3 linked regions of the Arabidopsis thaliana genome follow. The protein of the gene in region 2 interacts with the protein of the main gene of each other region in a biochemical or structural test. Each region holds a gene or a part of one and is shown on either strand. Other genes may lie near its edges. The genes, in order: SKP1, EID1 and AT5G42190.

Evidence for each region.
Region 1: the proteins of EID1 (region 2) and SKP1 form a complex in vitro, tested with the Arabidopsis thaliana proteins (one study listed by BioGRID).
Region 3: the proteins of EID1 (region 2) and AT5G42190 form a complex in vitro, tested with the Arabidopsis thaliana proteins (one study listed by BioGRID).

What each region holds. Positions count from the first base shown.
Region 1 is NC_003070.9:28,514,758-28,518,550, reverse strand, and holds SKP1 (S phase kinase-associated protein 1), read right to left. Parts: upstream 2,033-3,793; 5' UTR 1,837-2,032; coding exon 1,528-1,836; intron 1,271-1,527; coding exon 1,097-1,270; 3' UTR 655-1,096; downstream 1-654. Other genes in the region: AT1G75960 (AMP-dependent synthetase and ligase family protein), read right to left, coding at 1-364; AT1G75945 (uncharacterized protein), read left to right, coding at 2,742-2,845, 3,057-3,138. UniProt on the Arabidopsis thaliana protein: Involved in ubiquitination and subsequent proteasomal degradation of target proteins. Together with CUL1, RBX1 and a F-box protein, it forms a SCF E3 ubiquitin ligase complex. The functional specificity of this complex depends on the type of F-box protein.
Region 2 is NC_003075.7:1,070,589-1,074,324, forward strand, and holds EID1 (F-box family protein), read left to right. Parts: upstream 1-1,892; 5' UTR 1,893-1,966; coding exon 1,967-2,977; 3' UTR 2,978-3,191; downstream 3,192-3,736. Other genes in the region: SR34b (RNA-binding (RRM/RBD/RNP motifs) family protein), read left to right, coding at 69-298, 697-778; AT4G02450 (HSP20-like chaperones superfamily protein), read right to left, coding at 3,399-3,511, 3,733-3,736. UniProt on the Arabidopsis thaliana protein: Component of SCF(ASK-cullin-F-box) E3 ubiquitin ligase complexes, which may mediate the ubiquitination and subsequent proteasomal degradation of target proteins.
Region 3 is NC_003076.8:16,853,658-16,857,461, forward strand, and holds AT5G42190 (E3 ubiquitin ligase SCF complex subunit SKP1/ASK1 family protein), read right to left. Parts: upstream 2,085-3,804; 5' UTR 1,860-2,084; coding exon 1,518-1,859; intron 1,012-1,517; coding exon 838-1,011; 3' UTR 534-837; downstream 1-533. Other genes in the region: PER64 (Peroxidase superfamily protein), read left to right, coding at 1-364.

The sequences.
Region 1 (3,793 bases), on a different chromosome or scaffold from region 2:
AAAAGAAGTCGACGAAGAGCAGCTTAGACTCGCAATGGCGGAGAAGAACAGAGACGGTTCGCGCGTCGAGGCGGGTATTGATGTTGTTAAGGATCGCGCCAGACATCGGAACGGAAAACTGGAGCTCGTACATTTCCGGAGTATTAGCAGATAGGACAGAGACAACGTCGGATCTTCCTATTCCAATGGAAGACAGAGCAGACGCGACGCAGAGGCAACGGTGATTCGTTTCTCGCCATGTGTACACGGTGGAATTGCCGTAAACGATGGAGGTACAGTCTCCATACACGGTGGCTGCTCTCTCAAGAAAGCCTAACAGTGTCAATGGTAACGAGTTAGCGGCACTTGGCTTCAAATCTTCCATTTTCTTTAGCTCTTTTCGAGTGACCACAATGTGAGTGTTACTGTATATAAAGAAGATATCTCTTTCAGTCTCATAGTAAAGATAAGATACACAATGACGAGACGAGAGACCACTTGACTAGCCAGACAAACAATTAAAGTAATTATATTGATGTACATGTGATCCACGTTCGGTTGAGTGGAAACTTTGTTTTCTTATATGCAAACAAAGCCCACATGTTATCGAATGTTGACGAATGGGTGATGCTGATTATGTTAGTATTTGAGAAGATGTTGACAAGATACAAATACGTGATGCAGATATTTATGTAAGTAGATGAGCAGGAGCAGGGCATAACTGGTGACCATTGGTTTCAATGAGTAGTCGTCATGATCCTTCACATTCTGCTTGCAGACTCTGCCAAATTCAGTTTCTTTTTATTTACACATGAACATTCCTAAAATGAATCGTGCAAATTAGCATTCTGTGGCGATTGGCAAGACAATTGAAAGAAGTTATTTTGTAAGACAAACCAACATCACTCTTGAAGATTATCTAAAAGCACAAATTATCCATCCCACAAAGAGTAAGAAACATTGGTTCTTGATAAGAAAGAAAGAAGAGGAAGAAGATAGTCATGATTCATGAAGAATATTAAAAAGCAAGTCATCAACAACACTTGAAAACGGCAATAAACATAAGGAAGAAGAAACTGGTTGCTTGCTGCTTTTGATTCTTCTCTCTGAAGATCAATCATTCAAAAGCCCATTGGTTCTCTCTGCGAACCTCTTCCTCTTCCTCTGGTGTGAAGTCGTTCTTAATGTTGAACGTTGTGCGGATCTCTTCTGGAGTCTTTCCTTTGATCATATCCGCAACTGTCTGACATGTTAGATCAAGCAAGTTCTTGATATTCAGGTAATTAGCAGCCTGCACAAGATCCCAAATTCATAACCATTAGATCAAAATCCGAATCCAAAAACACAGATATGATTATAATCCAAATCGATAGATTCAATTAATGATTGGTTCCATAAGAACCCTAACAATATCAATCTCAAGCAGATTCAATTTCTGAAACAAACACCTAAATTTCGAAACCCTAATTTTCCCAAATCGAAAACCCTAGAATCCCAAAATTCAAAATTCGATGGAAAAATCAAATCAGATCGAGAGAAGAAACATACCAGAATGAGTTCAAAGAGAGTAGCTTGATCGATCTTCATAAAATCAGCGTCCCAGGCCTTAAGATCGTCATCGGAGGTAGCAGCACCCTCGACGGCCTCGGCCTTAGAGGCAGCAGCCTCGACGTGCCTCTTGCAATACTCGATCACCTTGGCGAGGATCTTGCTCGTGACGTTAGGAAGAGGGACTCCGTTGTCGACGCAGTCGTCTTCAACCATATGCGCTATGGTTTGTGACTCGAGAGCCACCGCCTCCTCAACCTCGAAAGATTCACCATCGGAACTCTTCAACACAATCTTCTTCGCAGACATGGTTATGGAAACGAAGAGAGAAGAGAAAGATTTTAGATTTGGGAGATTTGTTCTTTGAAGAAAATTTTGGAGAAGCGATGAATGAAATAAAGAGATGCGTCTCTCTTTATATATAAAACAATCCCTAATTTTGATAAGTCGGTCGATTGTTAAAAAGTCGCAAGTTTAGGGAAATTAGGAAATTGTTTCAAATTTTGTTTTTCTAAAAGAAAAATAGAAATCAATCCTATTGATTTTAAATTTTGTTTTCAATAGTTGAAATTAATGAAATTAGGACTCTGTTCTATTTTTCTTTTGGAAATATTAACTTTGATCCGTTTAATTCGTTGTATTTATCTCATTATTAATAATATATGATTTTATATATATTTTTTTTCCATCCAGCTCCATAATTGTCAAAAAAAGTAAAAGAACCAAAAATCACCGTAGGATAAGTATTAGTCAATCAAATCAGCTTTGTCAGCTTTAAGATCATGTTTTTTGAACATTTATTTTTATTTTATATTAAGTTAATATTAATATGTCATAATAAATAATATATCTAACTAGTTTTTGGTCAAGAGTCATACAATATTTTAGGCCTGGGATAACGGTTCAACCCGAGAAAACCGAACCGAAAAAAACGAAAATTTTGGTTTTCGGCAGCAACCGAATTAAGGAGATCGAACCGATCGGCCAAATTAATTTAAGAATTCGGAAGTCGGTTCGGGTCGGTTCGGTAATCGGAACCAATCGGTTTCACCCATACCGAGAATCTGCAGCCATATATAAGGTTAATTGATGAGTCTTAACCTAATTAGGTTTCTTCTTCGTTTTTGGCTCTCTGCCTCTTGCGAAAACAACAAAGAAACTTTGATATTTTTCTTCGATTGAATTAGTAATCATCAACTCGTCTCTTCTCCTTCATGAATTCATCATCTTCCAAGCCTCTTTCATTCTCTCTAATCTCAGTTGGTCTTACAAAAAACCTTTGCTCAGAGATTCAACCCACAACCTCAACTTTCTTAGGGTAAACTCTTCTTATTTCTCTTTAATCATTTGTTTTGTTTGATTCTTTGCTCTCTAAGCTCTTCCTCTGTCTCTATAATTTCTGAAATTTTAGAGTTAGGCTTTACACTTCCAAATCTGAGATTATCCATTATTTTTATGGATCTTTTATGGTTTACACTTCCATCTCATGTTTTTTCTTACTTCATGGATAACAAACGGGCGTTTAACAGGTCTCGTAGGGCATTACGTCGTCGGAATGGTAGATCACTAGATTGGAGAGGCACTGCTCGACGTCGCAGTTTGGAGTTGTAGTCGTACATATTTTTTTTGTCAAAACTCAAAACCCTAATTTTGTAATGGACCTGACCCATAATTGTGTTGTGGATTTGTAATTGTAACTGTATATTTGTGTATTGGGCCTGTTGTTTGTTTTTTATTAGATTTCATTTTTGTAAGTCCATTTTTTTAATTTGTGGTTTATTTGGTTCAAATTAACCGAATTAGAAAAAAAATCGGTTTAATCCGGAATTTAATTTATACCCAATAACCGAACCGAAAAAACCGATGTCCGAACCGACCCGAACCGAATTTTTGTTCGGTTCAATTCGGCTAGAAATTAAAAAATCCAAAAACCCCGAAAAACTAAATAAACCGAACCGATTAAACCGATATATCCGAACTCCCAGGGCTACAATATTTATATAATGCTGTGGATTTTATTCTCTCTTTCATTTATTTCTTAATGGGTAATATATATTCTTAGATATAATATTCAACTTTGTTTTGTTTTCTTTTCTAGTTATAACTAATCATATACATCAAGATAAGGTGTATGATTTATATGCTTACTTATATGATTATATGGTAACTTTTTTGAAATGCATTCAGTTTTTTTAGTTATAACGTATTTTATTCTTTATTTACATGGTTTTTTGTAATTTAAAATGGACATGTGTCATACAAAAAA
Region 2 (3,736 bases):
TTAAAGACAAGAATTCTGAGAGCTGCATTCGTTTTTATTGCACTTAACATTTCCCTATGTCATTACAGGTTAGAGAATATGATTCAAGGAGGGATTCGAGGAGCCCCAGCCGTGGAAGATCCTATTCTAAGAGCCGCAGCCGTGGACGGAGTCCCAGCCGTAGTCGTAGCCGCAGCAGAAGCAGGAGCAAGAGCAGAAGTCCAAAGGCTAAATCTTTGCGTAGATCGCCTGCAAAATCTACATCGAGATCTCCTCGCTCTCGCTCCCGCTCTAAGTCGAGGTCACTGTCTCCACGAGGGTATGCTTCATTTCTTCTATAATGTTTATGCTAAAATATCCAACATAAAACATAACATAGGCTCTATTTAGCTCTTCCCTTGAAGTTTGGTGACATCACATTAAAAGATGTCACTGGGATGACTCCGAGTTGTTGATTGAGAATGATGATTGCTTCTAGTTAAGGGTACACGATTTATTTCCTTTGAAAGTCTGGTCTTTTATAATTATAGTGTTGAGAATGGTTTTGTTTCTTAGATATGGATATACATACAATCAACTAAAATATGGGAAATAGTATCTGGATCATGGATGTCTTGGTTGGTTGTACACAACTGTTTCGTCTCAGAGGTATATGCTCTTTCTTAGATGGGCAAGTTCGTTTTCTGATAATATCCATTGCTGCTAGATGGGTAACAGTGGAGAGACATTGGATCGCATTGATATAGTGTCATCAAAATGGACCCATCGAGCTAGGACAGATATTTTCATTACCTGCTAATCGACAAGCGATCTGGATTCTCATGGAACCGATGCTGTTCTGGACACAGGGTTTGATAGAATTAGATTTGCTTTGATATTCTCCATCTCTACCATCTGTTTTAACGAAAAGCAGGCTTGTGTTGGTTTGATTTTCTGCTAGAAATAGTCTGAAGATATGTTTTTTTCTTTTTTGCTTCTTGTGATTGTGTTTTGATGTCTGACATGGAATGAGGCATCAAGGGTCTTGGTGAAACAGCTATTAAACACGGAAATATTGGATTTTTAAAACTGGATTTGTTTCTCGGACTTTTGCAGATCTCGTTCAAGGTCAAGATCTCCTCTACCCTCTCTAAGTCATCTATCTCTAATACACTTTTTACTCCGCTATACTATCAGCACAATATTTTCGGTTTTCAATCCATACTATCCAAAAGACATGATCTATGTCTAGCTAATTACATTCTCATCATCTGGATTGAATTGTGTGTGTTGCAGGTTCAGAAGGAAGCAAGTAAGAGCCCTAGCAAGCAGCTGAGCCCTATCCGTGGTAGGAGCAAGAGCAGAAGCAGGAGTCCATCTCGGTAATGCACACTCTTTTTAACTTGCTTGGAACATTCTCACTCTTTCTCTGAATCTCTTTCCAACTGTTTTACAGGTAAAGAAACATCTCATATCAGGTAAAAAGCTGGGTCTGTTGGAAGATTCTCATAAAGATGATCTCTCTTATGTATGAGAAGTTGAAAAACTAGTTGTGTATTTCATTCTTATTAGCTTGGGTTTGCACATGGGAATGATATATACTCAGTCATCATCAGTTTATGAGCTAAGCTCAGCTGATTTATATGACTTGCTAATATAGTTAGTGCTTAAAACGAACTATCAAAAATTACTGTCGAATACCAAACTTAATTCAAAAGCTCACAATTCGATATTAAAATTTTGAAAACGTTCACAATAAATGAACCTAAAAAGACATGTGCATTGAACTCATTTTGATACCCGGACCCTTTACATTTTAGTTCAGTCCGTACGATGTCATTTTCGAGAGCTGTTGCGCATTACTTACTTGCCTTTGTGTGGGTGTTAGTGAATCTGTGACCCACCTTAAGAACAGTTAAGACTATTCCCGGTTTACGCGTACCGGACCCATAACAGTATAAGTGAATTTGGATAAGAAAGGAGCCGCCTAGAGAGAAGAAGGCGATCCATGGCGGAATCTGTCTTCTCTTGTATACCAGAAGACGTAGTCTTCAACATCTTCTTCAAGCTCCAAGATGATCCAAGAAACTGGGCTCGTCTCGCTTGCGTCTGCACCAAATTCTCCTCAATTGTTCGAAACGTTTGTTGTAAAACTCAGTGCTACTCCGCTATCCCCACCGTCATCTCCGATCTCCTCCCTCTTCCTCCCTCCGCCGCCGCATCCGCTTCTTCATCCACCGCGGCGGATTCGTCTCTTACTCCTCCCGGTGGTTGGGCTTCTTTATACAAACTCGCTGTTTGTTGTCCTGGTCTCTTCCACGCTGGAATTCTCCTCGAAAACTCCGATTTCGGTTTAGAACGTGAGCTAGGTCCCGATCAAAACCTCGATCCGAAACCTACTACGACGGATCTAGCTCTTAACGACGAAGAAGTTTCGAAACCAGTTGGATCTGGTTTAGAAACGACTTCGTTTTGGTCTCTATATGATGATCTCTACACAGATACTATTCCCGCTCCTCCTCCCGAAGATTCAATCGACGATCAAGAAGAAGAAATCGAAACGAGTGAGATCAGACCTGGACGAGATCTTCCGGTAAGGAAACGAAGGAAGATTTGTCGATCTCTAGGATCTCATTTAGCTTCCGGTGGCTGGAACCTTAGCCGTGAACAAGGCAACAAGCTTCTCGCGAGTAGATTCCGAGGTGATTGTCTCTACATTTGCAATTGGCCTGGGTGTATTCACGTAGAAGAGAAACGAAATTACATGTTGTTTAGAGGAGTCTTCAAGGATTTCAAAAGGTCTAGAGTTTGGAGAACGATAAACGACGGTAATCGGAGTAAGACCTCGGGTTTGAAATGCGCGTTTTGTTTGTGCGATGAGACTTGGGATTTGCATTCATCGTTTTGTTTGAGAAGAGTGTTTGGGTTTCATGATGATGGTGAACCAGTTGTGAGAGCTTATGTTTGTGAGAATGGTCATGTCTCTGGTGCTTGGACTGCTTTACCTCTCTACACTTGATAGCTCACTAGAGAGGACAGGTCTTTCATTCTTCTTCCACGGTCTCAAGTCTCAATCTTGTTTGATGTATTTGTAGGAATAGTGTCATTGTGTTTCAAATTCTGGTTAATGTTTAAGTAATGGTTGAAGAAAATTGGCTCAACATATTGTGGTTGTTTTGTTTCAATGTTGACAACATATTAGACTTCGATTCAAATGCATAAACTCTTACGTCAAAGCCAAAAATTTCAAGTCCAAGAACATTTGGAAACAATATAACCCAAAACAAAAGGTAGAAGAAACTTAAACCAAGATCAAATCCATAGAAAGAAAACAGAGTACCAACAACATTCATATAAAAGAGGAAGTAATTCAGAGGGTTTCATAAACCTGAAAAGCTAATAATACCATATGGTTTTTCATCATCTCTAGAACAGAGTCTTCACTTGTCTTCCTTAACAGATGTTGTTTCTTCTGCCGCTGGTGCCTTCTCTGTCGCAAGACCTTCCTCCTTAACGGCATCATCCTTCTTGTCTCCTGATTTTGCTGTCTCTTCTGCAATTTACAGAAAATGTTTCATTACTTCAAAATTCTGCATTTTGTTGAGGAACAAAGAAACACAAAAATCTGCAAAATGTTTCCTAAGACAGAGTACTTGGCATATCATATGGAATATGAGATACTTCAATAACAAAGTCAATCAACTCTGGCGAAATGCTTTCATTTCAAGGAGGCTGTGACCAAACATAAACGAGAAAGATCTTCAAAAGTATTACCTTC
Region 3 (3,804 bases), on a different chromosome or scaffold from region 2:
GTTCCAGAATAGGCTCCATAAATTCAACACACAAAAGGAGGTTGACCCAACACTAAACCCCTCATTCGCAGCCAGGTTGGAGGGAGTGTGCCCGGCCCATAACACGGTGAAGAATGCTGGATCGAACATGGATGGAACCGTGACGTCATTCGACAATATCTACTACAAGATGCTTATCCAAGGCAAGTCACTATTCTCATCCGACGAATCGCTTCTTGCAGTACCCTCTACTAAGAAACTCGTGGCCAAATATGCAAATTCCAACGAAGAGTTCGAGAGGGCTTTTGTGAAATCGATGATCAAGATGAGTAGTATCAGTGGGAATGGCAATGAGGTCAGACTTAACTGCAGAAGGGTTCGCTAGAATCTCAATCTACGCTTCCAACATCACGTTACTACTACATTTTTATGTCTTTCGTTTTCTTTCGTCACATTGATTACTTGTGAATGGGCCTTTCTAAAGATTAAGGCAGAGGTTCTTGTATCAGAATTATCTATCAATCTCTCGTGTGTGCTTGTATAGGCATTTATTTACAAGTAATAAGATCTTTTCTCTTTCTAAGAACATGCAGACAAATCTTATCACTTGTGTTCACAACCTATCTAAATGATTGACGAAACAATAGAAGACCAACACTCTCTTTTGAGCAACAACTTCAATATGTTTCGTAGTTAAGTCTTTAATTTGACATACATAACATAACATTAACATCCGACCCACTGTCTTAGCTGGACCATCACGTAGAAGAGAATGGATATATAGTCAAAGAAAGAAGATAAGACAGGGAGACACAAATGGGTCGAGGACATGACAGCAACCTAGGTCTTCATTTTTCTTCATTCAAACGCCCACTGATTCTCACGGCGAACCTCTTCTTCTTCCTCTGGCGTGAAGTCGTTCTTGATATTGAACGTCTTACGGATTTCTTCTGGGGTTTTTCCTTTAATCATATCAGCCACTGTCTGGCAAGTCAAGTCCAACAGTCCCTTGATATTCAAGTAGTTAGCAGCCTAAAAGGTGTCACAGGGAAACCAACTTAGATTCAAGCTCTTCAACTTTCAGATAAAAATGGAACTTTATTGTTCAAGCAAATCAAACATATTGAACTACGATTCCAAAGAAAATAAACTTTATCACTCGTTTCAGACAGAACAAAACATGTCATGTTAGCATCCAAAAGGTTTCTCAGAAAAACAAATCTAGATTCAAGCAAATCCCAAAGAAATTAAACATTATCCAATGTTTAAGACAGAACATAAAAAACATGAGTTTGGATGTAAAGTGGTCTTCAGCTATAAACAAATCCAACAAACTCAAAAGAAATCTCTTGACACTTTTTTCTCTATCAGACCATATATTTCAATCAGACATGATCATAGTTTAAACTGTGAAATTGGCAATCTAAACAAAACCTGAACCCTAAAATTAGATCTCAAACAGAAATCAAGATCTCAAACCCTAGAAATGAAATCGCAAACTTTGAAAACCAAAGCAATTAAAAATAAGTTTGACAAACCAGGATAAGATCGAAGAGAGTGCCCTGATCAACTTTGATAAACTCAGAATCCCAAGTCTTGAGATCTTCATCACTAGAACCCGACGCGACGGTGGTGGTAGTAGTAGCAGCAGCAGCATCGGCCGTGGTTTCGGATTTCTCAGCAGCTTCGACATGTCTCTTACAGTACTCAATCACCTTCGAAAGGATCTTGCTTGTGACATTAGGGAGAGGGATACCATTATCGGTACAGTCATCTTCAATCATATGTTTGATGGTTTGTGACTCTAGCGCCACCGCTTCGTCAATTTCGAAGTTTTCGCCATCCGAACTCTTAAGAGTGATTTTTCTCACCGTCGACATTGGTTTTTGCTGAGTTTAGAGACGACGTGGAGGCTGAGGAAGAGAATCGTGGAACAGAGAGATGTGTGTATGGGTTAAATCAAAATGTTTTTAAAGCCCGGCTCACACATTGAACCAGTGAGATCTAACGATTCCCAATTGACTTTTTTTACCTATAAATTTTCATTTTAAAACATTTTCTCTGTTTTTTTCTTTCAAAGGAAAACACCTGAAAATTAATTCAACTCTTTTCATCAACTTTTGATTAATCAGTAGTTGAACAGATACTAAACTCCTCTATTTGTAGGATGGTGTGTATAATTTAATTGGATTCATGTGATTTGATTTCCGGTAATATTTTTCTTTGAACATCTTTGCAAATAAAGAGTTAAGAATCATAATCAATTGCGGCAGTTGTTTTGCTAATTAAGTTGTATTAAAATCATCCACATTCTAGAAACCAAGTCCACCGTTACGACAAAACTTATTTATTTTTTATTTTATTTTTCTTATTTTTTTTTAATTTTAAATTTCCATTAAAACAAACAACAAGTTATAAGACAAGTGTCCAAACATAAGCACACAGGCTCGAAAACATACACATCCAAAAGCTCAAATCCAAGGCGCGCAGGCCCGACAACAAGAGCAAAGCCCAAAACAACCAAAGAAGCTGAAACTTAAAAATAGCAGGCCCAAAAACCAAAAGAACGAAGAGGGAACGACCCAAGGACTCAAAAAACTCATAAGGAAACCTGAACCGCAGAGGAGGACCTAACTGAAGAGACGGAACCAAGTAGCAAGCAGAGAGGCACCCGGAGGAGGAGAGGGAGAGCAGAGAGGCACTATGACAAAATTTATCTCATGCCTTCCACTGTAAACGTTTTGTTCGTCCATTGGAACTCTACCAAAATTTCGTTACTACATTCCTAAGTTTTGATGTTACTGATTTTGGTAATCTAAAACAAGACAATACATAAGTAAGCAATGCATCTGGTACTGATTTAATCAATACTTCTTTGCCATCTTTAGATAAGAATTTTGTAAACCAACCATTTATTCTATTATGTAAATATTTTCTAAAAGAGTAAATTTTTTTTGTCTTAGATCCTCCTAAACTTTTCGATAATCTCAAGTAGTTGTTCATGTCCCCTATATTAGTGATTTCGAAGATTGCCATAAGTTTGTCCATCATCGAGTTGTCAACTCATGACCAAAAACCTCTTCATAGTTCTTTAGTATTCCAAATCCAATGACGCATTGTTTTTTTTGTCGTTTTACAAAAAAGAAGCTATCATCCACGAACATAAGTGAAATATTGAGGGATTCGCTTGTAAAAATTTCATCCCCGCTAAAATCTTATCTTATTAAATAAAGTGAGAAAAATCTAACTTGCGTTATCTAAATTTTCACCAAAGCATAATCGGCCATTATCCTAGTAAAAAATATGGGCCAATAAAAAATATATTTAGATTCACCCCTTTATTCACCTTTTTATTCCATTAAATTAGAATTTATACCTAATAAATAAATTAAATTTATTTTATTATAAAATCTAATTTGCCACAAGAACAAAATTTTATATAGTTTTGGGTTTATAAGAAAGGATTGAAGTTTAGATTTTACTATTAAATATCGATTTGAGTTATAAACAGTTTTAGATTTTATAACTAAACGAGATTGAACGTCTGTTTGGTTTTATAAATGGATTTAGATTTTATAATTAAACAATGTTAAATATCGGTTTGGGTTTAGAAAGAACGGTTAGAGATTTAGAGTTTGCAATTAAAAGAGTTTAAATATCGAATTGGGTGTACAAAGAAGAACTAGGGTTAGATTTTATAATTAAACGAGATTACATTTTGGTTTGAATTTTTTAAAAAGTGGTTAGAATTTAATTTTTTTTTACTTTTTATTTAGAATTTAGATTTTTTATTTATAATTAAATAAGTTTTTTTAACTTTTTATT